Linked DNA regions of Lonchura striata. The protein of the gene in region 2 interacts with the protein of the main gene of each other region in a pairwise test. Links are inferred from orthologs where the notes say so. Each region holds a gene or a part of one and is shown on either strand. Other genes may lie near its edges.

What was found.
Region 1: the proteins of TNIP2 (region 2) and STK11 interact in binary tests that used the Homo sapiens proteins (3 or more experiments, as listed by UniProt). The link is inferred for Lonchura striata from reciprocal best matches to the Homo sapiens genes TNIP2 and STK11.

What each region holds. Positions count from the first base shown.
Region 1 is NC_134630.1:6,448,919-6,465,274, forward strand, and holds the start of STK11 (serine/threonine-protein kinase STK11), read right to left. Parts: upstream 7,077-16,356; 5' UTR 6,159-7,076; coding exon 5,869-6,158; intron 847-5,868; coding exon 763-846; intron 1-762. UniProt on the Homo sapiens protein: Tumor suppressor serine/threonine-protein kinase that controls the activity of AMP-activated protein kinase (AMPK) family members, thereby playing a role in various processes such as cell metabolism, cell polarity, apoptosis and DNA damage response.
Region 2 is NC_134606.1:9,219,312-9,235,281, forward strand, and holds the start of TNIP2 (TNFAIP3-interacting protein 2), read right to left. Parts: upstream 6,112-15,970; coding exon 5,662-6,111; intron 3,604-5,661; coding exon 3,298-3,603; intron 1,589-3,297; coding exon 1,505-1,588; intron 968-1,504; coding exon 686-967; intron 314-685; coding exon 194-313; intron 1-193. UniProt on the Homo sapiens protein: Inhibits NF-kappa-B activation by blocking the interaction of RIPK1 with its downstream effector NEMO/IKBKG.

The DNA.
Region 1 (16,356 bases), on a different chromosome or scaffold from region 2:
ATGAACTTTGTGAGAGTGTAGAAGCAGATAAAGATAAAAATAACAAAGTCAACCTGTCCTTGAAAAGAAAAAGCACTGAAAACCAACTCTGGACCAGCACTGCTCAGGAAGTCCAGCAAGGAGCATCCTTGGAGAGATCCCATTTCCCAGTGATGGTTTTGGGTTGTCATCACCTGGTACCAACACACGATGTCTCTCTCGGGCTCCTTTTCCCCATGCTGCCTCCTCCCTTCTACCTAATTAAACAGGATCTGTCTATCAATAATTGACTCACAGTCCCCTCACTCTGTCGAGGCCACAGCACAAGCAGAAGTTGTCACAATACTTTATCCTAATGATCTGGTGGCAGAGTGTTTGATCTAATTAATGCACACAATGAAATTAGTCCTTTTCTGGAGTACTGTAATAAGGAGACAGTAGTTAGAAAACACTGTCAAAAATAAAAGGATCCATTGATAACATATGCTACAAAGGATCAGATCCAGGAACTTCCCCAGTGGTTCCAGGCAAAGTGTTCTCAGTGTTGCAGAGTCACACAAAATCCAGTGAAGTCAGGATAAAATTGCCTTGATCAGTATCTGTGTGAATTTGTGTTTGTGTGGAAAGTCTGCCAGGTAGGCAGGATGGTTATTAACAGTGAAATCAATTTAGCTGCAAAAATTTAAGAAAAAGAAACATCCAAAAGGGCCTTTCCAAAAGCAGAACTACAGCAGAGAACAGTGGGAGTTCAAACCTGATCAACAGCCCTGTGCAAAAGGATATATTTTCTGCTTCTCCTCGTTGTACAACACATCTACCAGCTGGATGACATTTTTGTGCCGTAATCTCCGCAGGAGCTGGATCTCCCTGCAGGAATAGACAAGGAAAAAGTTACATTGAAAAAGCTTATTCCCAACTCCATCTCTTCCAAAATTTCACCCAAACTCAGCTTGATTGAATGGCTCAGAGACCTGAACTGAATCTTTTGTTTGTGGGGAATAAATAAGGTAAAACAGTGAGGAGCCACCTTCCCTTGGCTTGGGGAGGAGTCCCTTGAATGTCACCTACTGTCAGCTGTTCTGATTTTTGTCTCCAGGGATTTTGTACTTGCCCCAAACCACGGTTTAGTCTCTTTTGCATTAAACTCATCCTGCAAAATCCCACTGGATGCCAGCTGTGGAGAAACAGGCAGAGCAGGACAGTCAGGTCAGGGTGGTTCTGTTGGTGCCTGGCAGTGCACGTCCTGCTTTTCACTTTGTTCTGCTGCTGCTCCATCCTGGGCTGTGCTGAGCTTCCAAATTCTCCTTGCCAGCTCACTTCCAGAGAGATTTGGCCAGTGCTTTGAGCAGTGTGGTCACACTTCATCAGCTCAGCCACTGGGAAGCAGCATTACAAGGAATTCTGAGCACAGCTTTGGAAGTGAGAGCCCCTGCCCAAAGCCAGCTCAGAGCCCCTCACGGGCACAATTAGCAGCTCCAGTAATGAGCTGGGGCTCGCACAAAGGCTGAGCAACAACCAGGAGCTGCTCCTTGGAAAGAGCTTCTCTGATGCAGGAGTGCAAGGAGAATCCTTACTGATCTTTTACGGATGCCTGAGCAGTATGAATTATTTCACTACCAAAGTTAAGGCCAGAGACTTCTTTCTCAGCTCTGGATTTAGAAGAAGCCACCAAGAGCCGAGCAGAGACCCAAGATACCACAGCAAAACTCCCAAGTATTGTGTGGACATGGCAGACAAGTCTAATTATAGGAATGACCAAAGGGCTGAAGGGGATTAAATTAGCACAAGGAACAGCAGCCACTGTCAGTGTGGAGCTGAGGAGATCGTGCAGCATGAAAGGGCCGAGGGCTCCAACCAGGGCTGCCAGAGGGGAGCAAACCCACTCAAACACAACTGCTTTAAGGCCCAAGTGTTTGGAACACATTTAAAATCCTGATCCCAACAGCTCATTCCCTGTAATACAGCCCGGAAGCACAAACACTAATTCCTCCCACCTTCAACAGACTAATAAATATCTCATATTTCTGTAATGATTTTTCCCCCCCCAGGAGGCCTTTGCAAACCAGTCCAAAACGCCAGGGCCATGCCCCCACCACTGGGGCAGAGGCCAAGCCACCCTTTTCCCAGAGGAAAGATTACTTCTATTTTTAGCTCCTCTCTTGCTCTGGAATGCCTGAGGAGCAGGGACAGCCAGCCCAGTCACCTCCGATCCCATCTCACTTTGCAAACCCCTGGAGTAGGGGAGCACAGGTCTCACCTTCTCAGAACAGGCCTAAATTTGATTTTTTTTTTTCTTTCAAAACTACCAACAAAACTCCACCACAGCTCACTGCAAGTGTGTGACCAGACAGACTGCCAGAGGACAAGACCTGCTTCCAAGTACAACCCACTGGAAGGAGACGAGGGGGGAAAAGACCTAACTCGAGCTCTGTCAGATCCATTAAGCTCATCCTGGTGGATTAAGACTTATCCCCTGCAAGGTACCAGCTCTGGCAAATAACAGGGGGTGTTGCTGCTCAGAACTGTAAATAGCAAAGCTTTCCCCCTTGTTCCATGTGCCACACCACTTTGGAACATGCCAAAGGCAGCCAGGAAAGCAAACTTCCTGGACATCTCCACTGTGAGATCCAGCTTGTTCCGAGCCATTCCTGCCTCAACAAAACCCAGCAACACAGCCAAAAGATTCATTCCCTGCCTTTGGTTCCACAAGGTTCTTCCCACAACATCCTAAAAGCTTTAGAAGTGCAGCACCTCTCCAGGACTGTGTGAGCCCAAAGGCTGGAAGTGCCAGGAAGATTTCGGTGTCACTTTTTCTCTTTCCTAGTCCCAAGGGTCCATCCACATCCTGCTCCTGCAGGGATGTCTGGCATTCCAAGTTCTGTATCCATCACAATCTGTGCTCTTCCTTGGAGTACAGGTCCCAGCATTTCACCCAAGCAAACATCCAGCTGAGCAGAGGAAACCCTTGAGCCACACGGCTCCACGGGGAACATTTCTGAGGAGGAGGGATCAGCCCATTCCCTGAGCTCACACCTCCAGGGCTTCCAGCAAGTCCTTCCCCTGTTTGGAGGTTCCAGCATGGGACTTGCAGACCCCAGGAACAAACTGTCCCAGCACAGCCCCATAACCCAGGTTGACCCTCCGAGGAATTCCCAAGGAGCACAAATTCCAACCAGAGCAATTGCCGAGGTGGTAAGTACAGCACAGGGCACTTGGGATCCCACAGAGCCCCAAACACTTAATTAACGTGTCAGGCTATTAGCACACGGCATTATTAAACCTCTGTTGCTGCTGCAGCCACAGGCTGCCAGGTTTTCCTGCCTCTTTTTGGCAATCCCACTAAACTCCTTTTTTTTGCAGGGATGAGATTCTGCAGTGTCTGCCTGACTGAGCCACCTTCACCTGCTCTAAAGAGAAATGAAGATTCTCCCAACAGATTTAAGGAAACTGTGTCTTAAAAGTTCAAGCCCTCAACATCCTCTCCATGACTTGGAGAGCCCTTCAGGGCTCATTTTTCTGGGGCAGAAGTGGAGTATTTTGGGGTAGAGAAAAAGCATTTGATTTGATGTAAGTCCCAAACACATTTAAGTTGTAATTTCTGGGTCTCCAGAACACCAGGAGAGAGGGCTGGGGCAGAGATGAGGCTGTGGCCTGGGATATCAACAAGGAGTGACCTAAGGTTGGCATTATCATCCTATTTCCAGCCAAACATCTCCAGCTCAGACCTGTATGAGCCTCCACAGCTCATTACTGCACTCTCATTCCTCCCTGTGTGTTACTGCTTGTGGAATTACCCAGGGGCCACTGTCTAGGAACTGTATTCCACGGAATTCCTTGGATTACATGCTATCAGCACAGCTGAAGCAGCACTGAGGTGCCCTGTGAGGGGGCAGAGGCAGGAGCCCACCACAGTAACTCAATCACCTCTGCCCAACAACCCAAGCCTCATGTGCAGCTTTTCCCTGTGGTAGGAAACGCTGGAAACCACTTCAGTGATCAGATTCCAAAAGCGAAAGCAGAACCCACAAACTGATCCAGCCCACAAACTGATTTCCTGCTGTCCTGTGCACAGGAGCAGTTTTTGGGCATAAACTCCTCAAAGCTGCTCCAACACAGTGATCTGGCCATGTTGACATTAAAATACTGTGTCAGTGTCCTGTCCAGCACTACCTGGAGACTCCACAGCACCCTGTTCCTCCCACATTGACAACTCAGACACACGGGTTTGGTCACAGATCTCATACCCAGAGCAGACATAGGGTGCACTCCCTCTCACAGCAGTGCTGATCAGCTCAGAGTGCCAGGGGGACCAGGGAACCACAAAGTACAACAGTTTGCCTTAAAATTCCCCACTGAAGCAGCAGATAAAGCACACGGATAGGTGGGCAGAAGGAAAAGGATGAGGGAACAGAAATAAGAACTTGAACTAAAGTAAACCCCTGGGTACAAGGCAAGACCTAAAATCTGCCTTGGTGTTTTGGAGCAGGTGGGGCTGAGCCAGGAAACATCCACAGAAAGCCCCTTTTAATAACTCCCTTAATGGCCCATCTGATACTCACAGCCCCATTCTGGGCGTGAATAAAACCTCCAGGAGTTCACGTCAGGACACTGGAGCATTCCCATGGCTCTGAGAGCAGGGAACTCTCCTGATGTGGGCAAGCTCTTTTACCTAATTTACATTGAAAGCTTCCCTAAGGAGGAAACTATCTGCACGTTCCCCAGTGGCAGCTCTGGATGTGCCCGTGGAGGGACCCAGGGACGGGGCTCTCAGCCTCCACCAGAAAAACAAGAAACATTTTATTACACATTAACCAAGTTTGCTTGCTCCTGAACCTGAGCCAGGAAAGGAGAGACAGGGAGGTCCCAGCCTTGGGATGTGACTGTTCCACAGCCAAGGCTGTCAAAAAAGGTTGGAAGGCAAAGTGAGAGAGCACCCTGACAGCAGTCCCGGGACAGGATGTGAAATATCCCACGGCTAAACTGGGAAATCAAACTGAGGGACAGACACAGGACTCTGCAGGTCAGGGCTCACCCGCAGCAGAGCACCAGGAGAGTTTCCTCGACCTCTCGGAGCTCTCCCTCCCAGCCTAGATAAACCCTCATGGGTTGTTTGGGCTGCAGAGGCTCCTGCACAGCTGATAAGCAGCTCCTGGCAGGGCTGGGACGCAGCTGCTGCGAGGTCCAGGGAAGGGAAAGTTCCCACACCAGCCCCACGGATGCAGCCCCACATCTGGCTTCTCCTGGGGTTCACTTCCATGAGGGTTTTGTGCCCTGAGTAACCAGGTGTGGTGGAGGCACAGAGAGCTGACAACCCTTGGCCCCATTTTACAGCCACAGAAATCAGCTGGGGAGAGCCTTGAGTAAACTCCCAAGGATCTTAGAAATGAAGCCAAGGAAAAAACCCAAAACTTCCTGTGCCCATGGGGTGCCCCATATATTGGATCCTGTTCCAGCCACCTTCCACATGGGTGGGAGGAGGAATTGCCACCACAGAGATCTCCAGGGCCTTTGGAACACACCTGGGCAGATACAGGAATAACCCTGTGAGGACACCAAGTGTGTTTGTAAGGTCTCACCTTGCCCAGGTGCAGCTGGCTGGGAAAGGTGAGAGGACACAGAGGAATTGCTTTAAGAATCAATATTTTATCCATTAAATGACACCAAAGTGGTGTATTCCAGACTGTCCCAGACCTTGGGAACCTGTCCCTTCCCTGTGCCCAGCCTTACCCAGAGCATTGGCTGCTGTTCAGAGGGAAGAGATCCCTAAATACCTGTGGATTAGGAAGCATTTCCACAGCAGAGCCATGCTGTCAGCTAAAACAACACAGGAGCTCAGCTGGTAAGCAAGGACCAAGTTCACCCCCTCGGCTCCCAGAACTCTTTACTCACTTTTTCACGTTGGCCTCCCCATTGGGGATCCGGCGCAGCTTCTTCTTCTTCAGGATCTTCACAGCTCTCCTGCACAGGGTCTCTGAGTCCAGCATCTCCTTGACTTTGCCATAGGAGCCCTCTCCCAGCAGGTCTCCCATGAGGTACTTGCCGATGAGCTTGGCCCGTTTGCGCCGGGGCTGGTAAATGACCTCGGTGGAGTCGATGCGGTGGATGAACGTGTCCATCCCCACCGACATCAGCTCGCTCTCAGCAAACATTCCCAGCTGCTGGGGCTCCTGCAGATCCATCCTGGATTAAGTTCCTTAACCTGTTTTTTTCCTTAAGCGCTCAGGGCTTTAATCCTGTTTGTTAAGTTTCCAACACTCCCTTTTTACTCCTTCTCGGGAAAAAAATATCCAGAAGATTGTACAAACATGAATAATAATTAAAAAAAAAACAAACAACCAACCAAAAAAAAGAAGGCAAAAAAAAAAAACAACCAAACCTAAGAGCTGCTTCCAGGTCAGTTGGATGCCAAAAGATCCCGGCCTGGCTCCAGAACGTCTTTGAAAAAGAACATAAATCTGTGACGGGACACACTCAGTTTGGGACTCACGTTGCTTCCGACCCGGTCCCGCTGCCGGGGGCTCTTCCCAGTCAACTGGCCTTGACTGGGCCCAGTTTGATCCTAAAGAGTTAGGTCATCTCCAGGCCGTCAGGCCACCCCGTGGAACCAGAGCAGCTCCCAGTCCCTCTCGTGACTTTCCATCCCTAGGAGCTCATGATTCCCAGCTGGGGTGGGCAGGTGTGCTCCCACGGCCCGGGCGGGGTGCGGGGGGTTCAGCCGTTGGGGAGCTGGAACCAAGTTTCCTCGAAGGAGTTTTCCGAAACAATTCTTGCGTCTTCGCTGTCGCCTACAAAAGTTTGAGGCCTTCGGTGCCTACCGAGAGCTCCCGGGGGCATCCTTCATCCACCGGGATTCCGCCTGGCACATGATGTGTCACCGCCTCTGCTCCGGGTGTCAGCGGTGCAGGACGACACAACCCAGCCCGGCCCCGCCGACCCCGGGGGGGGTCAGGGGGACCCTCTGCCCCAACTCCCGGTTCCTCCCGGGGGCACCGGCCGCCCGGTGACCGGCCGCTCACGGACGGGGCTCAGGGATGCCCACCCGGCCCGGACGGTCCCTCCCGCACTTCCCACAGGTGTCACCGCGGCTGGCAGGGCACGGCGGGGGAGCAGAGAGGGGGGACAGGGGACGGGGCACTTTTCAGCGCCACAAAATCAGCGCCGGGACGGGGCGGACTCCCGGGGGAGGGTCGGTGACCTCCGGGCCCTTCCCAGCCCGGGCCGGGTCCTTCCCCGCAGGCAGCTCCGGCCGCTCCCGCCGGTCCAAACGGTGAACTAGGGGAGGGGGGCTGAGGGCCGAGTCCCCCCTCCCCGTCGCCAGGCGGGGGAGCCGGGCCGGGCCCCGGCGCCGCGCTCCGCCCCGCCGAGCCGCCGCCTCCCGTGTCCCCCACCAAGTTCAGGGGCCGCCCGTCAGCCGCTGCCCCCTGGCGCTGCCGCGGTCCCGTTCCCCGTCCCGGCCGCGCTGCCCCGTTACCGCCCGCCCCGCCGCGCGCGCGCCGCCGCCGCCGCCGCCGCCATCTTGTCCCCGCCCGCCCCCGCCGTTCCGTCCCCCCCCCCCCGCCCCGCTCCGCGCCTCGCGCCGCCCCGGCGCGCGCCCCCATTGGCCACGCTGTCGGCCCCGTCCCCGAGCGCTCGAGCGCTGATTGGTTGCGGCCGCACCACGTCGGGTTCCGGTTGGTTCGTTACAAGCAACCCTCCCACCCACTCCGGCCGGCGGCGGGGCGATATGATAGGTTAACCGGGCTGTCAGTCACTATTAGAGGCGGGGATTCACGTGAACTTCATATGTGATAGGCCATTGGAAATATCCGTCGCGACCGAGGGCGGGGCTTGCGTCCTGCGGCGCGATATGATAGGCTGCGAGCGCTGTCAATCACCGCTCGGAGGCGGGGCGGTGGGACGTGAAGGGTGGAGGGCAAAGGGCAGGCGGGAGTCATGGAGACGGGACCGGGCACGGAGCCGGCCCTGCCCCGGCGGGGACCGGCCTTGCCCCGGCGGGCTCCGGCCTTGCCCCGGCGGGGACCGGCCTTGCCCCGGCGGGGACCGGCTCTGCCCCGGCGGGGACCGGCCTTGCCCCGGCGGGCTCCGGCCTTGCCCCGGCGGGGACCGGCCTTGCCCCGGCGGGCTCCGGCCTTGCCCCGGCGGGCACCGGCTCTGCCCCGGCGGGCACCGGCCCTGCCCCGCCGCCCTCGCGGTCCGCCTGCCGCGCCCGGGTCGCTCCGCTGCCGCTTCGGGTTTGGGGTGGCCCCGCTCCCCCCCGGTGTCCGCTCGGTGCCGGCTGCACCTCGTCCCCTCCTGCCCAGCTGTGCTCAAGTCCAGCCAAGCAGCTGCGAGGGCATCCCCAAAATAACGGCGCCCGGCTCCAGCGCCCCGGGCAGACCCCGGCACGGCCCGGGGGAATGGGCTTCTCCCGGGGCCGCCACCCCTTCACGGCCCCGGCCGCCGCAGAGACGCTTCTCCTGCGGGCACCCTCCGGGGGCTCGGAAGGATCGGGCTGCACAACGCTGCTCCCCCCGCAGCGGCGTTCAGGGGTCTCCTCCCGGTTTCACCGGATACCGGAGTCCCCTGTCCTGCTCGGGGAGTTGCGGTAGGACAGCTCCGGCCTCTGCCGTGCCTGCTCCCGCCGGGAACGTCGGTAACCGGTGCCGGTAGATGGGGTTTGTGCAGTGCCAGCTCAGAGGAACCGCGATGCCCCTGCGGCCGCCTCCTGCCCCGCTGTGAAACCCTTTGGCGAAAGGGATTCAGCTGGGATTGCAATGGGGAGCACCAGCTCCCAGAGCTGACCAGTTAATTTGAGGCAGGGCAGGACAAATCCCTGAATTCTTCCTTTCCATGAGAGCCATTAGCTCTGCATGAATTCCAAAGCACAGGTGGGAGAGCCCTGAGCCCGTTTTGGGGGGGCCTGGGCAGGATCAGGGCCCCCTGGGTCCCCAAAGGGTCAAAGCACTGCGACGCTCCAGTTTGTTCAAGGAATTTGGTTTGTTCAAGGAATTTGAGCCTGTGAAGGTTCGGGAGGAGGTTCCAAGGGCTCCGAAGAGGGAGTGTAGAGGAGGGGGCTGCTCTGCCGAGCTCTCCAATCCCGCTAGCACCGCCTTTCCCTCCTCCCTCAACGGCTTCTGTCACCACAGCCCCTGGCCCTGGGTGATTTATTTACTCCAGGCTTGGCGCCGAGTCCAAAGTTCTGGAACCCATCCCCGAAATTCTGGTAAGTGCTGTGCATCCCCTTCCCGAGGTGTTCCCAGCAGTGGGAGGGCAGAATCGGCTGGAGGAGCTCCTGGCACTCCACACGCTGCTCCCTGCCCATCCCACTGCCTGTTCTGCTCCCTCTCCCACCAGGGTGACAGAACGATCCCCCTCCAAAGGCAAAATCCTGCTCGACTCTGCAGGAATGGGTCACTGGAGCAGGGCAAGCCAAGAACTCACATGGGGTGTCCCCAGGTACCCCCAAACCCCTCAGCCTGTCCCACATTGGGGCTGTGGATGCATCAGGCAAAGCCAGAGGCTCTTGGGTTTTCCCAAATATTTGCACCAGCATCCAGTGAGGACGTCACAAGCTAGGGGAACTGGCTGACACCTGCCAAGCTTGTGGCACATGGGGCACTGCAGGAGCTGTCCCCTCACCCTCCACAGCCCAACAACCCGGCCAAGGGGGCACAGAAGGGTTTATTCAGACATGGAATGGTTTTGTGGGACCCTGGCACCCCAGCACGGTTCCTGCCAGGTCCCATCCATGCCCCCTGCACAGCGCCAGCCCCGCACTGCCAGGACCCTGCACAGGGCAGGGTCTGTCCCCTGGCTGCCTCTTCCCACAGCTCTGGGGGCACAGGGCCAGCTGGCAGCATGGCTCCACAGCCCTCACCCCACGGAAAGTCAGGGGATTTCCAGGCTCTGGGAAGAAACAGGAAGTGGCAGTGGGTGACAGCAGCCCGGCACACCCCAATGTGGAGCTGCTCTGCAGCTGAGCCCATGGGATCAGCGCCCAAAAACGCCCATCTTTGTCCCCATTTCCTGAGACTGGGTGTCTGACAGGGACCAGCTGCCTGGGAAGGGCTGTTCCTGGAGAAGCCAGGCTTTTTTCCAGGGACATTGCTCCTGTAAAGGGGCAAACAGACCAGGACACAACTCAGCCATGTCCCCACATCTTCCACCAGGGCAGGCACAGGACAGCCTCAGTGCTCCCAGCTCAGCATCACTTCTGCTTCATTGCCTGTCTTGGGGTTTCTGTGTGAATTGGGGTCTCGGCTGTGGTGGGAGGAGAAAGAGATCCTGGTAAGGGAAGTCCTGATTTGGTGGTTCTAGGAGGAGGCTGATTTGGTGCTGGATACATCCCTGTGTGTTCTCCCACTGTGCGTATTTATTTGTATTTGTGGAACACCAAATAAAGAGCTGGGGGGGAGGATTTAGAAGAAAGATCCCTGTAAGAAGGATGTTGGAAAATGTGGCAGGATTGCCTTGATTAATCACTATATGCAAATGAATAAAGAATGGGAGAAGCGGACCGGCACAGAACTTCCTGGTTCCCCCTTTGCCTCTGGCACACACCCAGCATTCCCAAGGACCCGGTGTTAATGTGGTTCCCATCTGCCAGTACTTCCTATCCTGGGGATAAATCAGTTCCCTCTGGCTGCTCCTGTGCTGGTGTAAAAACAGACCCATCCAGGAGGCTTCTGTGTGACCCCTCAGGATTTTGTTCCTACCTTGGGACTCCAAAGGTGGCATGAATTCAATGCAAGCAATGGGAAATTAAAAATATTAAAAGGCCCAGTGTGGGGAAAACGGGTGAGGAGCCTGGGATGGTCAGAGCAGGTAGTTCTCCAGCCCTGTGATTCATTTAATTCCTTCTGCCCCGGAGGCTCCCTCTGCCCCGTGGGTTCCTTCTGCCCCGAGCCTTTGCCGGTCTCCGGAGGCACGGGCCTCGCTGTCTGTTCATCACTCAGGGCCACCCTGGCCCGGTTCTCCCGTTCCCGCTGCCCCCGGGCCCGGTTCTCCCGTTCCCTGCTGCCCAGTCCCAATTCTCCCGTTCCCACTCCCCCGCTCCCGGTTCTCCCGTTCCCCACTGCCCCCGGGCCCATTTTCCCGTTCCCTGCTACCCAACTCCCCGTTCTTCCGTTCCCCGCTGCCCACTCCCGATTCTCCTGTTCCTACTCCCCCATTCCCGGTTCTCCCATTCCCGTTCCCCACTGCCCCGGGCCCGGTTCTCCCGTTCCCCACCCCCCTGGGCCCGGTTCTCCCATTCCCGCTGCCCACTCCGGTTCTCTCGTCCCCACTCCCCCGTTCCCGGTTCCCCCATCCCCACTCCCCCGCTCCCGGTTCTCCCGTCCCCACTGCCCGCTCCCGGTTCTCCCGTTCCCCACTGCCCCGGGCCCGGTTCTCCCGTTTCCCCACTCCCCCGTTCCCGGTTCTCCCGTTGCCCACTCCCCCGCTCCCGGTTCCCCCTTCCCCACTCCCCCGTTCCCGGTTCTCCCGTTCCCCGCTGTCCGTTCCCGGTTCCCCCGTTCCCGGTTCCCCCATCCCCACTCCCCCGTTCCCGGTTCTCCCGTTCCCCGCTGTCCGTTCCCGGTTCTCCCATTCCCCACTGCCCCGGGGTTCCCCACTGCCCCGTTCCCGGTTCCCCCGCTCCCGGTTCCCCCGCTCCCGGTACCCCATCCCCGCTCCCCCGCTCCCTGTTCCCCCATCCCCGCTCCCCCGCTCCCGGTACCCCATCCCCACTCCCCCGCTCCCGGTTCTCCTGTTCCCCGCTCCCCCGCTCCCGGTTCCCCCGCTCCCCCGCTCCCGGTACCCCGTCCCCACTCCCCCGCTCCCGGTACCCCATTCCCACTCCCCCGCTCCCGGTACCCCATCCCGGTTCCCCCGCTCCCGGTACCCCATCCCCGCTCCCCCGCTCCCGGTTCCCCCATCCCCACTCCCCCGCTCCCGGTTCTCCTGTTCCCCACTCCCCCGCTCCCGGTTCCCCCATCCCCGCTCCCCCGCTCCCGGTATCGCATCCCCGCTCCCCCGCTCCCGGTTCTCCTGTTCCCCACTCCCCCGCTCCCGGTTCTCCCCGGCTCCCGCTCGGTCGCCGCCTCCCTTTCCCCGGAAGCTCCGCGGCCCTCCCAGCATGGCGGACCCGGAAGCGGCGCCCGGCGGCGGCGGCCGGGCGGGAGCCTGAGCCGCGGAGCGCCCGGGACCCCGGCAGCCCGCCACCCCCGGACACAGGTAAGGGCCGCCCGCTCGCTGCCCCCGGGGCCCGCGCCTTCCCGCCGCCGGCCCGGTCTCTCCGCGGGCGGGGGCCGGGCTGGGGGGGTTCGCTGGGGACGTGGCCCCCGGCCGGGCCCGTCCCGGGTCCGTCGGTCGGTGCCGCGGGGAGTCCGGGGGCTGCGGGGCTCGGGCCGGGCCCGGAGCAGCCTGTGGGGACGGCGGGGCCGGCCCCGCTGCCGCCAGCCGTGTCCCCCACGCGTGTCCGTGCCGCGTGTGGAGCGGGGCCCGGGGCTGTGCCGGCACCGGAGAGAGCCGGAGGTGCTGCGGAGCCTCTGGAGCTGCGATCGCAGCAAAGCCCGGACCCCTCCAGCCCTGTCCGGATGGGGAATTGTCCCGGTACAGCCCGGGTGGCCACAGCCACGGAACCCTCGTGTTTCTGACTCCCTCTTCAGCTGCTTTTCCACGGAGCGCTGTGAAAACTGCACAGCGATCACAGAATCCTGGAGTGGTCTGGGTTGGAAGGACCTCAAAGCTCGTTCAGTTCCACCCCCTGCCATGGTCAGGGACACTTTCCACTATGCCAGGGTGCTCCAAGCCTGGCCTTGGGTTCCAGGGTTCCAACTTCCAGGGATGGGGCAGCCACAGCTTCTGTGAGCAATCAGAGCCTCAGCATCCTCCTCACAGGGAAGGATTTCCTAATATCCGATCCAAACTTCCTCTGTGTCAGTGTGGAGCCATGAATCCATCATGCACCGAGGTTCTGCTGTGGTGCAGCCCGTACTGGCCCTATTCAGAGTCTCTGCATTCTGGAACCAGTGATGTCAGACCATTAACTGGGCTGATACCAGAGGCTTCACCTTATTAAATACTAGTGCCAGGTCTAAAACTCCTCAGAGTAACCATAAATTCCAGTGTAAAGACTGTGGCTCCCCCTTAGCAGGCTTGATTTACAGTGGAAATGAGATGGGCAGGTCCTGCAGGTTCAGCACTGGCAACCCAAAGCTGGGATCCCAACCCCTGGAGGGTTTTCTGGTCCGTGCACTGGCCCTGGGGTGAGTCTGGAGGGCAGGAGGGTGTTGGCTGTGGTCGGCTGCGCCTCGCTGGGGCTGTTCCTGCTGCACATCATCCTCGTGTCATCCAAGAGTTGAGCTCGTCCTGAGCCGTACGGGAATGGCTGAACCAAGAGCAGCTGGTGGTGGGAATGTTCAAGTGGAAAATGGTGTGCTAATACTGATGCTGTGGGGTTGGGAGTGCTGTGTGTCCCATGCAGGTTTTGCAGAGCTCCATAAGCTGCCAGCTGGAGCTTTTGGAAGCCTGAGCTCTGCTATCTCTGCCAAAAGCTCTTTACTTGATGAGGGTCTGTTTTTTGGATGTTTGCACCCTCATTTTCCTAAAATAAGCCTGTACCCGTCTCATTCGAATGTTGCTGGGAGGTTTCTGCACAGGAGCAAACTGCGCTGGGACTTGTCACCATGAGAGTCTGGATCCTTCAGGAAAGCCTTCCAGGCCTAATTGGGAGGTTTATACTCTCCTGAAACACTTTTCTGCTTAAAACTTAAAACTCTGATGTCTTTTTTGGTTACACAATCGAGGTCTGCACAAGTGTGGGTGTGATCAAAGTGAACACATGCCTCTCACGGAGCAGGTGCACGTTGAATCTGCCTTAAGGCTGCCCTAATCCGTAGGGAAGTTGGCTTTGATGTCCTGAAGTGGTTTTTCTACCACGAGTGGCTGTGTGTGAAACAGAACGTTGGGACCTGCTCAGGTCCAGAGGGTTTCTCCCAAGTGTCTCTTGGGAGAGAAACTGGGGAAAAAGTGTAAGGAATCTGGGACCTGCATTTTCTTGGCTTCTGACCTTGCTTAGCCAAGTTTTTTGTGGAAGAGGAGCAGCCCCAGTGCTCCGAGAGCCCTGCTCAGGCTCTGCCTTGTGCTGGGGAGTGCCCAAAGCCCTGGTTTTGGGAATATTCCATGGACCCGGTGTCTGAGCCACTGCTTCAGCCCTAGCTCTGCCTTGCAGGGATGTGTTTGTGGTTTGGGAATGTTGGTGCTGGATGTGTGAGGGTGATGCTGGATGGATTTACACAGGAATGTGCCGAGTTCCTTGGCAGAGCGTGGGTGGTGTCTGGGAGGCATTTTTGCCCTGTCTAGAAATAGTTCTATGTGTTCTCCCAGGTGGAAAAGCAGGGATAGGTGGAATTTATCTCTGGGGGGCAGTTAATATTTTCTCCTAAAGGGTACTTTTCCCTCCAAAAAACTGTATTTGATTGTTTTTTCCTGTATGGTCTGAGTGTCAGACAAAGAGCAACAAGTACTGCTCGAAGCATCAAGCTCTTCCCTGTAGAAACTGCTGTCCTTGGAGGGCAGGTTTGTTCTTTTGCCTGCACTGCCACGGCGCTTGCAAGAATCTCTGGAATGATCCAGATTTTTCTTCCCTTTCCTTACAGACTAATTCCCTCAGTTAATTGGTGGCACGGATTGTTCCACGCTGCAGCTCCCTGTTGACTTGTGGTGCCCAGGCGATGCCGGGATTTGCCCTGGAGCCTGGCAGTGCTGTGCCCAGCTCCAGGGCTGCAATCCTTGTGTCCCAGGAGCCTTTTCCATGCTCAAAGCATTCAGAAGATCAGGGTGGCTCCAAGTGCTGGCTTAGGATGCCCTGAAATGATTCCATTTTTGTCACCCATAATACGCGTTTTCCGCTCTGGTGTTCTCCTTTGTGTTGGTGACGGGACTGAGTCCTATTCCCATCTACTTGTTTGGTCTGAACTTCCCAAAAATACATCAAGGAGAAGCATGAAAGAGGAACTTGAAGGTGCCTGGGTGCTTGAGAAGTAAAACTGGCTGTTCAGAGTTCCGTAGGGTTGACTTCCCATTTCTTTGGGGCAGTTACATCCAGACTGTATCCCGCAGAATTCCCTCCGGCTGCAGCTTTGGTGGGTGCTCATGAGTGAGTGGAGCAAGGTGGGGACATTTTGGGGCTCCACCTCTGCTCTGTAGGGGTGGGCAGAGTGAGGGGAGCTGAACCCTGAGCAGGAGGAAGAGCAGGATCACATTCCCAAGGTGTTTTTGTTGTTCCCAGCACGTGGTAATTCATGATCGGCAGGTTTAGCTCGCGCTGCTCCAGGCATGTCTCTGGGTTTCTGGCTGTGTTCCTTTAACGGAGGCAATTTAAAATACACCAACAAAGGGTGGAACACGACAGGAGGAAGTGCTGGCTGCATTTACTGGGTTGTTTTCACCTCTCCTGATCGCAGTTATCAGTGATCCAAGCCCTTACTCCTGGCTCTGTCCATCCTGGTTACAGCACAGCAGTTCTTTGTGTGTTCCCAACTGGAATTTTCCTGCTGGAGCGCTGGTCTGAGAAATGCCTAAAAAGCTCATGCTGTTAGAAGCTGAAAGTTGTGCTCTGTAACCTCTAGACATGATGAATTCCAGAGGAATTCCAGGCTGGATCTGCCCCTTAGTCCCCGTGCTGACAGCAAACCTTTAAGCAAACTGTTTGGAATATTGAAACTGTTCTGGAGCTCAGTGATAGGATGAAATCACTCAGGGGCTTCGTCATCCTGTGCAGGGAGCTGCTTTCACTTTCAAACCTGGGCTGCCTGGCCGGGAAGGAAAATGTCCAGTGGGATTTTTAGGGTCGTGCCCCACTCTGGATCTGGGGGATCGCTGCTCTTCCACAGCGCTGCTGCAAGGAAACGTGAGTGAAGTTGAGAGCTGTCTCTGTGTGCTGCTGCTGCTGCTCAGGGCTGGGCTTTCCTCTCCCAACACCAGTGCTGGGACCAGGAGCCTCCTCTCTGGGGATTTGCCATAACAGTGGAAGCTGCTGCGTGGTCGGAGTATGTTTGGTAAGAGGAGTGATGGAAAAACACTTTAAAAGTTTGCTAAAGCGGTTCCCTCACATGTGTGGGCCTCTATGTTATCAGTGTTTGCTGTCACAGCAGCAGGATGGGATGTGGAAGTGGAAGCACTTTGGAACTTGCTGATTTTTATGGTTTTCGGTGATGTGGCTGCCTGGAGGATGGAAGGATAGGCACAAACCAAGGGCTGTTCCCACTTCTCTGTTCTCGTGCCGGGTGTTGTCCTGCTGTCCTCAGGCTCATGCAGGTCTCTGACTCTGGATTTAGTGTTTTATTTAGTTTTTTTCTTGGAATTTGTGAGTGTAAAGTGGACAGCAGCCCCAGCAGCCCCTGGCACTGGAGCATG
Region 2 (15,970 bases):
TACATCTGAACTCTGAAGCATCTCCACCAGAACTAACTATGAAACAATCTAAGTTTTTGATAGCTGTTGAAACTGTTTTGAGCTGAAACTGTTTTAGAAATACTAAGATTTTTTAAAATATATTTTATAGTATATTTTAGTCCCAAATCCTTTGACATGCTTAAATTAAAGAAGGAGCATGCTGCTTTCTTACCTGTCTTCTTGCTAGCTGGTGTTGCAGACATGCAACTTCTGCCTGAAGTTCTTGTATTTTACTCTGTGCTCGTTCTCTGTCTGATCTCTCAGATGTGAAATCGTCTTTATAAACCAGGACCTGAAAGAGAATGATTATGTTAATATTTTATACATTAGAGTATTAGCAGGTTAGATTGAAAAGCTGAGACTATGATTCCTTTTTTACTTATTCCCAGCATCTCAGTATTATCTTCCCTATCGTATGTGTATTTATTTCAAAGGTGTTTGTATTTCTTTTACAGATCTTTCAGATTGTGTATTAAAGCCAGCAGAACTGCATGGGGTTCTTTAAGTAGTGAGTTTCCTTTAAATCTGTGTTGTTGAGTATCTGTATAGCCAAACGTGCACAGACAGGCAAATGTCCAAAAAGAAATTCCTTTTTCCCCATGGACTTCAGTAGTCTGGGAAGAAACTAAGAATTCCCATCTCTAGGAAAAAGAAACTTAATAACCTGTTGCTCCAGCATTTGTATGCGCTCTTTATCTCCTTCACTAGCCTTCTTCATGTCTTCCAGTTCTCTCTTGGTTTTTATGCACTCATTCATTTTTTCTTCCAGTAGTTTGTTTAACCGGAATATCTCCTTGTGCATCATGTCAGAATTCCTTGGTGCTGGAGCTCCTCCGTGGTGCTGCTCCAGCTGTGACTTCATCTCCTTCAGCTGCAAGTGGAGTCGCTTCACGTACTCATCCCTGCTCACATCGTACTTCTGCCATTTTGCATTTAAATCTTCCACCTGAAAGTTTATCCAGCAGAGGCATGAAGAACAGGGAGACACAAACTTCCAAAGCTTTCATAGGCTGTCTACAATAGCAGGATCAAAATTCTCTAGGGGATAATGTAACATGCTGACTCGACCCCTGAGGTGAGTAAGTCACTGTACAGGAGAGCAGGAGATGATTGTGCAGCCTCTTCATGGGCAGCCTTCCCATCTCCCAGTCCAAAGGGACAATATTAAATAATGTGGAAAGGGAAGGGTCTAATGGGCCTAGTGCTGTTCTTCTGGGGTGGAATATTGATCCATGGAAGAACCATGAAAATTTTCTTATGCACTGCATTTTTAACAACAAAAATCCAGTATGTTAGAAATTATATAGTAAGTTGTTCTCAGCTAAGGGAACAAAAACTATGTGCTGTGTTGAAAGGACTAAGAAAAACTATCTTGCTTTGTAATTGGCATGTAATTAGATTAACCAGACCTTATCTATTTCAAATTTACTCTAATACAAAATACTTAACAAATATTAATCTGTAACAAAATGAAAGTACTCACATGAGCTACTTTTTGTTTTAACATCCTGTTTTCCTCTTGTAAGTTGCAGATAAGAGCTTGAAGTGAAGTTTCATTGTCTAAAAGCTGTAATTTTCAGATAAAGTTAGGTGTTACTTCAACATAAAAATCTCAGATGCTGTTTGGCTGTGCTGTTAACTGCAAGTAATCTTTTTTTATATAATATGTAATGACGTACATCTAGGTTTTTACAGCCTTGGTACTGCTATGAAATCGACCTCATGACAACAGCATTTAAGAGTCTACACAAATTCTTTACAATACTTGTCTGGAGTGGGACAATACATGACAAAGGCACAGATATGCCTTCATCTTGCTTTGTTATTACTGTCAATTTTGGCCAGTACTAGGAAGAAATTACTGAGGGGAAAAAACCCTGCTTGCTAAATAATTGACTAAAATGATACCTTTTTTACAGCTGTGACATCTGCTTAAAAAAAACCCCGGTGTACGTGAGTAATATAGAACACTTTTGTGCAAAATTCCCTAGAATCAGCTAGTAATGGCATCTGAAATTTCTCCTCTTCAACAGGGAAGTCCCCACTGTACAAGGTTAGCTTCTTATTGCATATATCAAAGTCAATCAAGTTTCCTGTCTGTCAATTACACTTTAGATATGATAATGCCAAATCCTTCAAGTCCCTTAAAAATCCTTTTTTCTTCTATCTACTCAACCCATATTTCTTACAAGTAACTTTAATGTAAGTTTTCGTTGGAAACACTTTTGGGATGTTTGACAAAGCAGACATGAGTATGTACAGAGTTCATCACAACAGCACAGATGAGTGGTCATGTGGAAAACAGCATTACCACCGTGTAGCAGTAAAAGCATAAGTCAGAATTATTCATTTTTGTGAGAACTGTCTGTAGCACCCTACTCACTGCTCTGATCTGTTACTAGAGACAGCACTACTAATGTTATTTCCTTATGGCGTTTTAATGAGTTACCTAATTTTAATGAATGTTTAATTAATGACTCTCAGCCATCAGGACTTCTGGAAAAACAGAACAATGATCTACCCTTATCCCATGCTGAGAACTTTAACTGAAGCCTCAACAGCCATTAGCAAAGTACACCAAAATCCAGGTGTTTCTTTGTGCCCTGCAGTAGCATTTCTGACACTGTGCTATTATGAAGCTTTTTTTTTAAAAACATGTCTCCTGAAGAGAAGCATTGCCCTGCGCTCAGGAGGCCAGGGGGAATCCCAGAGCAAAAAAAAAAAAAAAAGGTAAGACACCTTGGCTCATATTCCACTAACCAACTTTCTGTAGGTCTGTACTATGTGTGCAAAGCCAAATCCTGATCCAAGAAGACCATATGTTACAGAGTTCTTAATATAAATACTACTTTAAAATATCTCTACTTTGTTTTGTGATTTTGATACTTAAACAAGTTATCAGGAGAGATCAGCTTCAAAATCACAGCACCATCTAGTGCTGCACAGAAGCAGGGGTGGTATAAGGTAGGTACTATCTCCTGTGTATTGAGGGAAGAACTGTGATCATGGAATTGCTGAGGCTGGACAAAACCTCTCAAGTTCTTCTCCTCTCCAAAAAAAAGCCTCTGTTGATGAGATGGCCAAAGTTGAAGTGGTAAACAACTGCTACCATCCTAAATTTCAGATATGCAGAATTATTTACCATTGCCATGGCAGTCTTAACACCCTGCATGAAATTATTTTAAGGGCCATTTCCCAGTTACAACTATTATATTCTAATTAACATCATAGAAGCTAATAAGACTTTAAAGACACACACAGTAGCTGTATAAATACCTGATTAGATCTTTCTGTAGGTATCTGGTCATCTGAATTCCCCTTCTCTTTTCTTTGCTTCTCTTCTAGACATTTTGCCAGATGTTGACACATTTCTGCTGTGGATGCTAATTTGCGTTGAAGTTGGTGAGTTTCATCAGTGAGTGAACGGCACAAAACATCACTGGTGGCCTGAGCCTTCTCCCTCTCTGCCAAAGTCTTCTGCAGTCGTAAGATTTCTCTCTCCTTTTCATACGGAGGCTGATTTATCATCTGCTGTATCTCTCCATTTTTCTCCTCTAGCTGCTGATTCAACTTCTGCACTTCCTAAACAGAGGGGGGAGGGGAAGTTATCTAAGAGCAAAATAAAGTCAAAAGCCAAAATCTATCTCAGACTTCAATATTGCAGTAATTCCTTATAGCTCCTGTATTCATTGCAAAGTACTTAAAAACTAGACTAAATCAATTTCATTTCTGTATGATCACAAGACCTTGGAATTGTTGGATCAATCAATGAAGACCTGCTCAGGCAGCCATGCAAGCACTTTCTAATCAGTAGAATGGAGAACAAGCAGCAAAAATTCAGGAAGATTTTATGACTATACAGCAGTAAGAAAAACAAGAAACAAAGTAATTTAAGATTAATAAATGTGGAGACTGAAAAATACTTACAGGTCCTGTACACTAAACTACCAGATAATAGAGATTTTCCTCAAAAGAAAAAAAAGGAACTGTAAAGTAATCAAATCCAGTGAAGTGTATTCACTGCCTGGCACTGTCACAAGGACAAGACAGAGCAACTTTCCCACCTAGGAAAGGATGGGAGTGGTAAGGTAAGGTCAAACCAGCAGAAAATAAAATCCATGTGGCAGCAGTGGCTCTAGTTTGGCCACAGCTGCCTCCCAGGTACATGAGGGGGTCTGACACTCCCCTAGGAATCAACTGTGTATCTTGTTTCTGCATCTCCTTGTCCTACTGGAAGTTCTGTGGGATCATCTACACTGCATTAACATCTCTGCAGGTGTTCTGAGAAGGAAGGGGTTTGCTTGGTGACTGGTGCAAACCACCTGTAGTGCCATGCACCTGAAAGGCACTGGTTCTGACCTGGTACACAAACAAGCTGGTTTTTACACACCCTCAAGAAGCAGCAGGTGCTGCTATCAAAACCTCTGCAGCACTGCTCCTCCAGAATCAAGGGTCTCTGGAGGCAAGTGCAGACATGAGACAGCTGCAATCCCAGCTCTATCATTCCAGTTCTTAGGACTGCTAATAGAGCTGTAAATCACTAGGAACACTATTTGCCAGCACACTGGCCTCTGGCTTCACACAAATATCTTCTTTATTTGGTTATTATTTAGTGCCAATTATTTCAGCCTTCTGATTGGGCACAGCATTTTATTCTTTCAAGACATGAACATTAACATCTGATATAGATAAACAGCACTTGTTCTTATTACTGGCATTTACATTCTTTAGCTTCATGCTGAATGCTAAACTTCCCCTTTAAAGATATTCAGCATCAGCTTTCAAATATGTTCAGATACCATAGGTTTGTCATCTGTCTGCAAAGTGTCAGTGAGCTCATCTCTTATAACAAATTTCCAAACATGAACTTTTTAATATGTATTTTAGGTGAGTGTCATATATGGAAAATGTTTTGTATAAGCTTTAGGTCAAGAGATTACTTATGACAAAAATGCTTGTTTCAGTTTTAAGTACTGCTGTCAGTTTTGAAATTACTTCATACTTTAAAAATCTTTGAGAATTTCAGACTGAACCTGGGGAAGTCTTAATGACAGTAACCAAAACAGCACTTGTGCTGGATTTGGAGGGATTCAGTTTTCAGGTTTTTTTCTTTCAAGAAAGACACCGATTTCCCTAATCTAGCTCTCCAGAATTGTCAGCTGCTTCTTCGAATATGAATCTGCTACCTCATTGTCAATACAAATTCCATTTTTAAGAGCACTTTAAGCACAACACTTTAACGGAAAAATTCGTGGCATCGGCTCCTTATCTTTGAGAACAAAATCGTTGCATCTAATAAATTCAGCGAGTTTTTTACTGTTTTTCTTTCTCCTTCTGAAAACAGTTGCATGAAGATGCTGAGTTTTTGGTTTAGATTTTATGGTTTGCCTTTCTGAAGGGAACGCAGGGGGCGCTCCCTTTGAACACAAACGGGCCGGTTGTTTCGGGCCCCCGGGGCCGGAGCGGGCATCGCTCGAAGGGGCTCAAACCCTCGTCCCGCTGCCGGCGCTGGCTCGCAGCACCCAGCGGGCGCTCCGGGCGCACCCTCCGCCCGCAGCCGCCCCGGTGCCCGGCTCCCGAGGGAGCAGCGCGGAAAGCGGCGCTGATGCTGCGCCGCTCCCTGCGCGCCCGCGGCTTTACCTGGCTCAGCGCCTCCACTCTCCGCGCCGAGAGCCGCTCGCTGTCCCGCAGCTGCTCGCGGGCCTGCTCCAGCTGCTCCAGCAGGCTCTCCACCAGCGAGCGGGCCGGCTCCGCGCCCGCCGCCGCATCCCCGCCCGGCGCCGCGGGCTGCCGCTGCCGGGCCAGGCTGCCCCGCAGCTCCCGGATCGTCGCCTCCTTGGCCGCCAGCTGCAGCTGGAGGTGCTTCAGCTGCTGCGCGGACTCGTGGTACAAGGTGCAGAGCGCGTTGTACCGAGGCACTTTATTCTTCAAGCTCCTGTTTTCCCGGTGGAGTTTCTCCAGCGTCTCCTCCACCTGCCTGAAGCGGGTCACCAAGGGGTCTGTGCTGCCGGCCTCGCTTACCGAGCACATGGCCGGGGCAGCTCCCTTCTGTTCCTTCTCCAGGGCGAGCAGGAGCCCGGACAGGTGCATAAAACCTCGCAGCGGAGCAGCACCGAGGCAGCGGCTCCGCTCTTCCGCCTTCCCCGCCGGGGGAGGAGGCGGCCGCTCCCTTTAAGGGCTCGCAGGACCCGCCCGTGCCGCCGCTGTTTTCTCCGGCCGGGGCCGGGCCGGGCGGCGCTCCGCCCCCGGGGAGAACCCCGGGCGGGCAGGGAGCTGTTTCCCCCGCGGCCAGAGCGGGACACGGCCCCGGGGGCAGCGCTGCCCGGGGAACCCCGGCAGGGCCGAGCCGGAGAACCGGCACCGGGGGCGGGGGGAGAAACCTGGGGGCGAGGGAGGGGGCGAGCGGGAGGCTCCGAGGGCAGGGGAATCCCGGCCGGGCGAGCGGAACGCGGGCAGCGGCTCCGGGGGGCGGCGCGGGCCAGGAGGGTCCCGGGGGCTGGCGGGCGGCGCTGGCTCCGGAGCGAAAGCCCCGGAGCGCCGCGTCCTCCCGGCGCCGCTGCGGGAATTCCCGGCTCGGAGCGGGACTTTCCCCGCTGGCGGCGACCCTCGGGCTCTCCGCTCTCCCGCTCCGTCTGCCCGAGCGGCCCCGGCGGCAGCAGGAGGAGAAACGCCAATATCTTCTCTCTGGCAATCCTCTGTTGGTGTTGTGCCGGCATCGCTGGCGAGGGGATGGCTCCGGACCCAGGCAGAGCAGCATGTCCCCCCTCGCATGCCGCATACCTGGCCAGGTGTACGAGTCTTTCCTTAGCAAAGACCTCGAAGACACCAAAATCCAAAATTCAGATTCGTCAAAATCCGTATCACCAACCAGTGCGTGTACTCTGAGGATGAGTTGATGAGAGCAAAATCAGCTGCTTCACACTGAATAAGCTGCTGCCCACCGGCTGCCCCTGTGGCGGAAGACTTTTTTATTGGCAGCATAGAACAGAGCTTGTTAATCAAGAATATCCCTGTCATGGAGTAACACTGGTGTACATACTCATAGACTATGGAAAGCTGGACTGAAAGAAGGCGTCTTTTGGATTGGTTTAGTTATGTCCATGTCGCCTTTCTGATGGAACCAAGTGGGAGGAAAGAGCCTTAAACCAGTACAAGAATAAGTCCCAGGTTACATTTGGTTATGATTTGCAATAGTATTTATTGTATGTATGTGCATGCATGTGTATCATAATGTGTACAACATGGAGCTCCATGTGTGCGTGCAGCCTTAAGGTTCAGCACAATCATGGGAGATTTGTCTGGCCTAAGTGCCTAAAATACAGCAAGTGGAAATCATCACATGCTGCTGGTGGAGGCAGCAAAAAGAAAAGACTTTAGACAATGTGATAAAGAGCAGCCTCCTGTGTTGGCAGGTCTCGGGATAAAAAGAGAGCAAAGACTAATTTGTGTGGAAGAATTTACAGGAATGGGAACATGATGAAAGGAAAAGATGGTGAACTTCAAAGTTGAGACTGTCAGTCACCCTGGTGATGGATAAAGACCTCCTGAAGTTCCTCTTATAATGAATTATCCTGTGATTTAATCAAGTTTTTTGAGGTGGAAAGTCATTACTTTGTCACCTTAATTATTCTAGTAAGAATTGGGAGTAATAAATTCAAAACAGTCTGTTAGCTTAGTTGTTTCTAAAAATATAACTGATTTTTATAGGAGCTTGTTGCACAGAGACCCCTGTGTGACAGAAAAGAGTAAAGCACTTGTTTATGGTACAGGTCCCTGGCTTATTTGCTATTTCACCTAATTTTGTAAGTATCAAAGGATTTAGGACAATGAAAAATCTGTGTGGAGGTTGAGGGAATATAATTTTTTAGTTTTTACTCGTACAGAGTGGTATTCTACATCCTTAAGATGCTGATTTTGCCGTGAAGAAAGTTCCTGCTTTAAAATACCTGTACTTTTCCCGTCATTTTCATGTACATTAGAAAGAAAAGTGAAAAAACCACATAGGCTTCATGTTACATTTTCATTATTGTGTTGCAGTCAGAGCTAACTGAAGAATTTGGAGCAAGACTGCTTTTGCTGGCTGTCAAAATATTTTGTAGAAATGTATGAAAAAGCCATGGTACTGGAGAATTGTTTGTTTTCCTGCCAATTAATTCACAAACTACAAGGAAATTTGGCCATCCCATGTTTGCAGATAGGGCAGTGATATCCTCAGACCAAGCATCAGGGAATTTCGTTAGCAGCCAAATCGAATCCTTTATAATATAGCTACCTTTGTAGTATTGTGTTAGTATATTACAATTAAGCATTACTTAATTTTATGGTAAATTATTTAAAATTAAGCATTACTTAATTTTATGGTACTTAATTTTATGGAAAATTTGGTATTACTGGTGCCTTGGATGAAGCCAGCATTCCCCCAGGAAAACACCACTGACTTTAGGGAAATTTGACCTACGTAAGTGCTGAGTAAGAAGCTAATCCCACATGTACTTGGGAATGCCCTTCGATGACTGTTTCCTTTTGTCACTTCTGAAATGCAGAGGAATTCCTGGGAATTCAGTCAAAGAAGCTGCTGCCAAAGAATGAGTCACATCTCGCCATGTTTCTAGCACCTGGCTTTTCCTGGATTGCCTTTCCTGCACCCTTACCCAGATTGCTGATAAAGCAGCTGGTTTGTGCTGTGGCACACTTATTCTTTGGGTTGCACAATCATAATTGGTTATTAAATATTGTATGAACAACAGGTATGCTCTGCATGACAATATAAAGAAAAAAAACTTTATTTTCCATACTGTACTGGTTTCAACATTAAATATAAGGTGAAGTTCACTTTAACTTTTTCTCAGTAGGGTGTTACAGGATAGATGTGATTAAACCCATATGGGAAAAATTTAACCTCAGATTTTGTTAAAGAACTCTTAACAAAGCTGTTTTGAATGAGTAATTATGTGCACATCACAACTTATTATAATGTGTGAGATGCGTGAAAAAAAGGGATTAGATACTGCCTAGAAACAAAAGGTGAAGCTGCTTCTAGGAAAGCAGAAAATAAAAACGGTGAACAGTATGATTAATTAAAGGTTCATAAATGTACATATATTTCAATTTTAATTTTTAAGCATGAGTTATGTGTTTGGGGTAAGGATAATTCATCTAAATGTAGCAGTTCTATTTCTGTAGCATTGGTGAAAGTCTTGTGAGTCGTTTGTATTTAAAAGAGTAATTATCCGTGGACAAGAGTATACAACATAATGGAGGGGTCCTGCCGTTTTATAAATAGTGACCTCTGCTCAATTTGTAAGAAATCGTAATTTTTTACTTGTGAACTCTAGATGTCATTCAGCCAATCAAGCTGTGGTTTACCCTATTGTCTTAAGTTACCACTAATTGTCCTGGAGGGTAAGTTGTGACATAATGATACTTAAAAAGAGTTAGAATTGTCTTGAGGTAATTTACCTAAACAGAGCTTATTAGAAATTAATATGTGATCCTCTGGCTGCTGTAGGCTGAAAATAACCCACCAATAAATTCCTTTGCTGTAGATCATGCAGTGCAAGAGGGGGAAAAATAACCTGCAAAATAATCTGATATACTCCCTGCTACATAAGATGCTGCCAGAGAGCTCTGTGTGTGACCAAAAATCTGATTTTCATGCTAAACAACTGAAATGTTGGTGCTTTTGTGACTCATAGATCAACAATAATTATGAGCTGCAGGCATGTTTGTACTTCCATGGGCAGGACTAAACATCCTCTCTATACATCACTGTGTTGGATGTTCTGATGAGACAATGTTCGACATATTTTACTGCTGGAATGACAAACTCACTGAGAGGTTGGCCAGAGGGCTGCCAGGATTCCCAAAACTGGATGAACTCATTGCTGTGATATACATATGTGGCCATCTCTCTGCACTGAGGCTCTGACTTGGAACAAAACATTACTTTTTCAGTCTTGGTTTCTGTTTACACACATCAAAATATTTACTTTAGCTAGGGAAAATAGAGTGGGGTCTATTTATTTCTAATGTAAGATTTTTCCCTGCTTTGTTGGTATGGTGGTGGTGCTGATGGTTTTGGTGGGGGTTTTTTGTTGTTGTTTTTTGGGGGTTTTTTGTTTAGGTATTTTTTTGGTGTGGGGTTTTTGTTTGTTTGTTTTGTTTGGGTTGTTGTTGTTTTGTTTTTGGTTTTTGCATAGTTTGCCTTTTTGGAGGATGTAAAAACCAAAAGTGTTCTGATGCAGAGGGCAGAGTCCCAGGGCCCTGTTCTTAATCAAAGTAAGGCTGAAATAACCAGGATGAGCCATACAAAGCCATGACATTGGTCAGATCCATAGCAGTCCCAGCACTTTTCTCTAAAAGGAATTTCTTTCATATTTCTGTGGACTAAGGTGGTTCAGTCTCACCATAAGGGTGTCAGTGGCTAAGCTGGATACACTCTTGTCTGGGTCTGTCACAAGTCCTTGATCTGTTTGTGTCCATGTCAGGGCAAGAGCTTTCTGCTATGCTTTGTTTTTCCTCAATGCTTTGGGTCTTTGCTGCAGTTCACCCTCCTGTGCTTACTGGCTGTATGTTCAGTATTTCAGACCCTGCTTTGGCTTCCCCTGCATTGTCTCACTTCTGCAGTTTCTCTTTGGTGTGCTCATGGCACAGCAGTACCAGTTGCCTCAGTCTGACCTTGCAGACTGGAATTTCTTGCAGTGCTGATGCTGCCCCTGCATCCAAGAAGTTCAAGCAGTTTCCTTGTTCCTTTAGAAAACCTTATCATGATGTCACTGCTTTTTGAGCTGTGATTCTATTCACAAGAACATAAAAAGCTCTCTGGTGCATGTAAGTGTTCAGCAAGTGGAGGCTTTCTCCTTACAGGCTTAGGTCACTCCTATTTAGAAGCAAGTTTCTTCTTTGAGCTTGTTCTGGATAAAACCTTAGGGTTTGCCCACATCTATTTATTCCTGTTGAGGAGTACAGGATATGTTGGCTTGTAGTTGTCATAGGACACCTTTTCCTAAATCTGATGATTTGAAATACTGCAGACAATTTTTTTGTGTGTGTTGCAGGAAATACTTTCCTAACTCTTAATATATGATTCATATTACAGACTTTTTGTGGATTCTGTATATATTAAATGGATTTTCTGCTTTGATTAATATAGAGTATTGTGAGTTTTCTGATTTCTGTTATTCAGCCTTCCTCAAAGGCCAGCCAATTTTAAACTGAGGGGAAAAAATTATTAATTCTGAATAAGTACTTGGCATTCACTTGCAAGACTGAAAACAAAAAGTTTTCAGGTAAAAACTTAGCTGTTTGCAGATTTGTTTAATATGTTAATATTATGTAATGAATTAATATTATGTAATGAAACTTCCTAAAGTGGTGTCCATGATGTTTCTGATCAAGACCACTCATTCTAACTAGAGCAAAACCAGTTTCAACATTTTTGATCTTTAGTTTGTTCTTTTTAGCAAACAGACTTATAGAGTTTGGTTAGATAAATTTCTGATTTAAATGTCTCATTTTAAAGGTTTGTTTTAAAGGATAACAGGGAAAGGTTTTCCTAAGACTATTGGGAACCTCAAAAGAAATCATAGTTACGTAGGAATTAAATTCTACTAGAATTCTAAATCAGGAAAAAGAAACTTTGGATACTTCTTAGAATGTCCTTGGTACTAGGTGATGAAATAGTTTCAGAACTATAATATGGAAGAATTGTTGGGAAGAATTAAGTAATTAGAACTAGAAAGTAGAAGTGTCCTTACCACACCATTCATTCTTCTTTCACCAAAATAGCAACATTTCCTAAAATTCTGATTAATGTCCAGTTCAGAGGCAAGAAACAGCACAGTTATGTTCCTCTGGGGCTCCATCTGTAAAGCAGAAAATCCATCAATCATCCTGGCAGGAAAGGGAAAAGCAGTTTTCAGCAGAGTTTTAAATTCAAGTCATTAATGTAGTGCTTTTCAGACTGAAGTGAAGAACTAATGCCATGTAGATACCAGCTACTGAAAACTTCAGCTCTTGTTCAAGTGTGTTTTTGTTATAAGCCAGAGTAAGCACACTCTCAGTCACTGGTTATGCTTGAGCAGACAAGCATTTTGACACTTTCTGCTCTCAAACAGAATTAATGGAATCTGGAAAAATAGTATTTTTGAGGAGCCTGCATGCCAGTATCTTCTCAGCCTTAGCACGATAAATTAGTTTAATGTGGACACGCAAGTAGGTATGGATTGTAGAACGTAGAATCAGGAAACCACAAGAAAAAATAATGTATTTCTTCAAAGTGATAATTCCTGGGAAAAAAAAAAACCACTGTAGCTGTTTTCATGGCTGAATGTGTCTCAGCTACCTGGTGGCATAGGAACTTCTGGTACAGTGAAATATGCCTATGTCTTCAGCAATAAATCTTTCCAGCTCTACATTAAATGATTTTTCCAATTAATTGTTTTAAATTTATGCAATATATTATAATTGTTATTGGGTTAATGTACATTTTAGGGTAGATGGCTGATTGGCAAAACCTTTACTATCTTCTAGCCCTAAGCTATGGAGGAAATACTACAGGGGATTCTAGATGCATGGTTTTTATTTAAGTTTCTGATGAGAGCTACTAATATATTTAACTGAACAAATAGAGAGGCCACTATCTAATGGAGTGAGTTTAAGAATTGATTGACACTGATTTCTGCTGTCTCTTCCCTTGAGTTTGCTGTTTGACTTGAGTAAGTTTTGTAAGAGCTTAATTTGCTTTGCCATGTGAATCTTCCAGTACCGACAATAGTGACATTGCTGTAGATGCCTTAAAGACAAAAATGCTGCAGAATATTAAGTCTTTGGTCTATGGAATGAAGATCACATCAGTCTGGGCTTATCCTTACTTAATTTTTAGAGAAAACCTCAAAGTTAATGACTTCAAACTGGTTCAACAGAATGACCCATTATGACCTTTTAATTAACATACTTGTCTGTTTATAACTGAAATTCTTGGAAGTCCACTGTGAGAAAGTTAATTCTGTTAGGCCTTGCATAAATAAAATAAGAAATGTTTTCTACACTGGAATACTCTATATAGTGGCTCACTTGGGGGTTAGTAAGTCAGATTTAGTATAATTGTGATGTTCCAGTTTCAGGGTGTGCAGACACATAGACACCTTTAAAAGGACTGTTTTCAGAAACAGTGGGTTTGAATTTCAAGGATTTCCACCAAAGTCACAATTTTCATGTAAGCAACTTTGGAAATACTCCCTTTTCTCCGAGAGCACATTATAATATTGTCGTAATATTGTATTTACTAAAATTACATATTTTAAAAATTTATAGGTGTTGCTATAAGAGAAGATTTGGAGGATGAGTGTTTTTGTTGGATCCTCTGCTGTACCTGGAAAAATAACAAAGACCTCTTGAATCATCTCTGCTTCCTCAGATCAGTTGGTCTGTCTTTCCCTACAAACTTTGCTTCTATTCTATCTGTATATCACATTTGCACCAACATTACTGGGCCTTAGAGATAAAACAACTCCTTGTATTTTTTTTTTTTTAAATCAGATTTCTGACATGATGGTGTGGCCATTAGCTGACCCAACAGCTTTAAAAATAATGAAACATAATCACCCTCATCTCTTATTTCCTGTGAGCTATGCAGGAAGTGTCTCAGAATGAAAGAAAAGCTATGAATTTGCCAGATAATGAGTCTGAATCTTGGTTCATGGTTCTTTCCTGTAGGCAAAATTATGGGTTTCTTGTAAACTTAAAGGAAGTGGAGTAGAGGAGTTCACTTGTGATAGTGAGAGTAGCCAAATGATTGATTAGCTGTTGAGAAGAAAGCCATGCTTTGGGCATTATTTCTTTCCAGAGATACTAGAGGAGTGTGATGGGTGAATCCCAGCTGGCAGGTGAGAACCCCCCAGCAGGGTGGGGGAGAGATTCAGAGGGGCAAATGCATGCAAAACTTGTGTGCTGAGGTAAGGAGAGTTTAGTAACAGAGAAAAGAAAAAGAAACCAAACAACTGATGCGAAGGCATCACTCACCACCTCCCACCCACAGCCAATGGCCAGACAGCCTCTGAGCAATGGCTTGTTCTGACACACCACCACCCCCCCGTTTGACTGCTGAGCATGATGCTCAGTGACACAGAAGATCTCTTGGGTCACTGGGGGGCAGCTGTCCTGCCCACCTCAGCCTTCTCTTGAGGCTGTGCAAGCCCTGTTCAGCAATAGCTAAAGCACTGCTCTGCTACCAGCACTGCTTTGGGCTCAGATTCAAACACAGCATTGGTCAGGCTGCTGTTATGAAATTTAGCTCCATCCCAACCACAGCCAGTACAGCAAATGTTACCCCAAACAGAGGTGGGGAAGACACCGATATTTTATAGCATTTACATGGCTCTTGTGGTTTTCATTTAATAGAATGAAATCAGGCAAAGAATTTTTTTTCTCTGTTTTGGAATGAGGAGACCTGAAGTGATGCCTTAAATTTTAGCTTTCATATTTTCCAGATTCTGTACTGCATTAGTGTGTGACTCTGAACTTCATGTAAAGTGTTAGCAAGTTCTCTTCACAGTTTAGTCAGACAAAACAATCCTTTTCCAGCCCGAGAACCAAGGACACCATTGCAGGTTCAGGCCCAAAAAGTACAAACAGTGAATTGAGGAGAGCAATTTCAGAGGATGGGACTTCATTAACTGAAGCTGTAATTGGACATTTAACCCCAGTATGTGAAAGGACCAAACCTTATAAAAGTGTGAAAACTTGTGACCTGGGATCCATATTGGATGGAGCCACAGCCTGGCTCTTGTGCTGTCCAAGGTGTATCCTTGGAAGGCCTTTTAATAAATACATATTTATTCCTTTAACATTGTCTAAGAGCCTCTGTTCTGGGTAGCCTCTCAAGGCATCAGAAGCAACAAGATCCCAAGAGGTTTGCTCAGAGCTGCATATAATATCAAAATATTATGAGCTGAAGAAGCACAGAATCTTTGAGCTAAAAACACTAAAAACATTTTGGAAAAGAATAGGCAGTTTTCAAGATGTAATGTCTGATAATAATAGTGTTAGAATTTGTTCATAACCTGCTAATAGAGAAAATTATGCTTATAATACTCAGAAAACAAAATTTGTCTTTCCCAGGTTTACCCATCAATTAATGTCAATCTATACTAGAAGATTACACAGCTTCTCTTTTTCTCATATTTATGAATAACATCTCCAACCTCAGCAATATTCTCAGACATACATCTCCTGCACAGCAATATAAGCCAAATGGAACAAGTCTCTGCCAGAGCAGCACCTTGAAAATTTCCCAGCATCTCTGCCTAACAGCTACAGGATGGCTTTGCCAGAAGGCAGCTGTGATACCTGTCACATCAAGTTTGTGTAGCTCTGACAGGGCACAAGACATTCAAAGTGCTGTTATCCCCAGGGTGATCACTGTGTTTATTCCTGCAGCAGCCTTCACAGGGATTGCTACCCAAGAGGGCTCTGATTCCCTCAGGCAGAGGCAAATGGAATTGAGAATCTGACCTTCCTGTGCATTGTGAGAGAACCATGGTGAGGAAAGGGCTTTCCTGGCTGCTCTGTTGGGAAGCAGTTGGAGTCTTGTGCCCTGCTGGAAAAAGATGCTTTTGCATGGAGCAGAGGAGTGCTGTCCCTGCTTGTTGTGCTGCTGTTTCAGTCTGGAGCTGGTCAGTGCTCCAAGGAATTCCATGAGCTGTCCCTCACTAATGCACGGGTGCTGGAAGCCTTGGCAGAGGAATCAGCCTGGTGCTGATTTGGTCCATACCTGTCATGCTGTGGCTTTAGTCCTACAAGGAAATTTGGAGTCTTTGGGATCCATGAGGGCAGATAATGGAGAAGGGCCCTCCTCTCTGCTCCTGTTCTTGTGTGCACAGGATTTTCCACGTATAGAAATGGATGAGGTCCTTAATTCTGCTCAGCCCTCTGACAGTGTCAGCCTTGC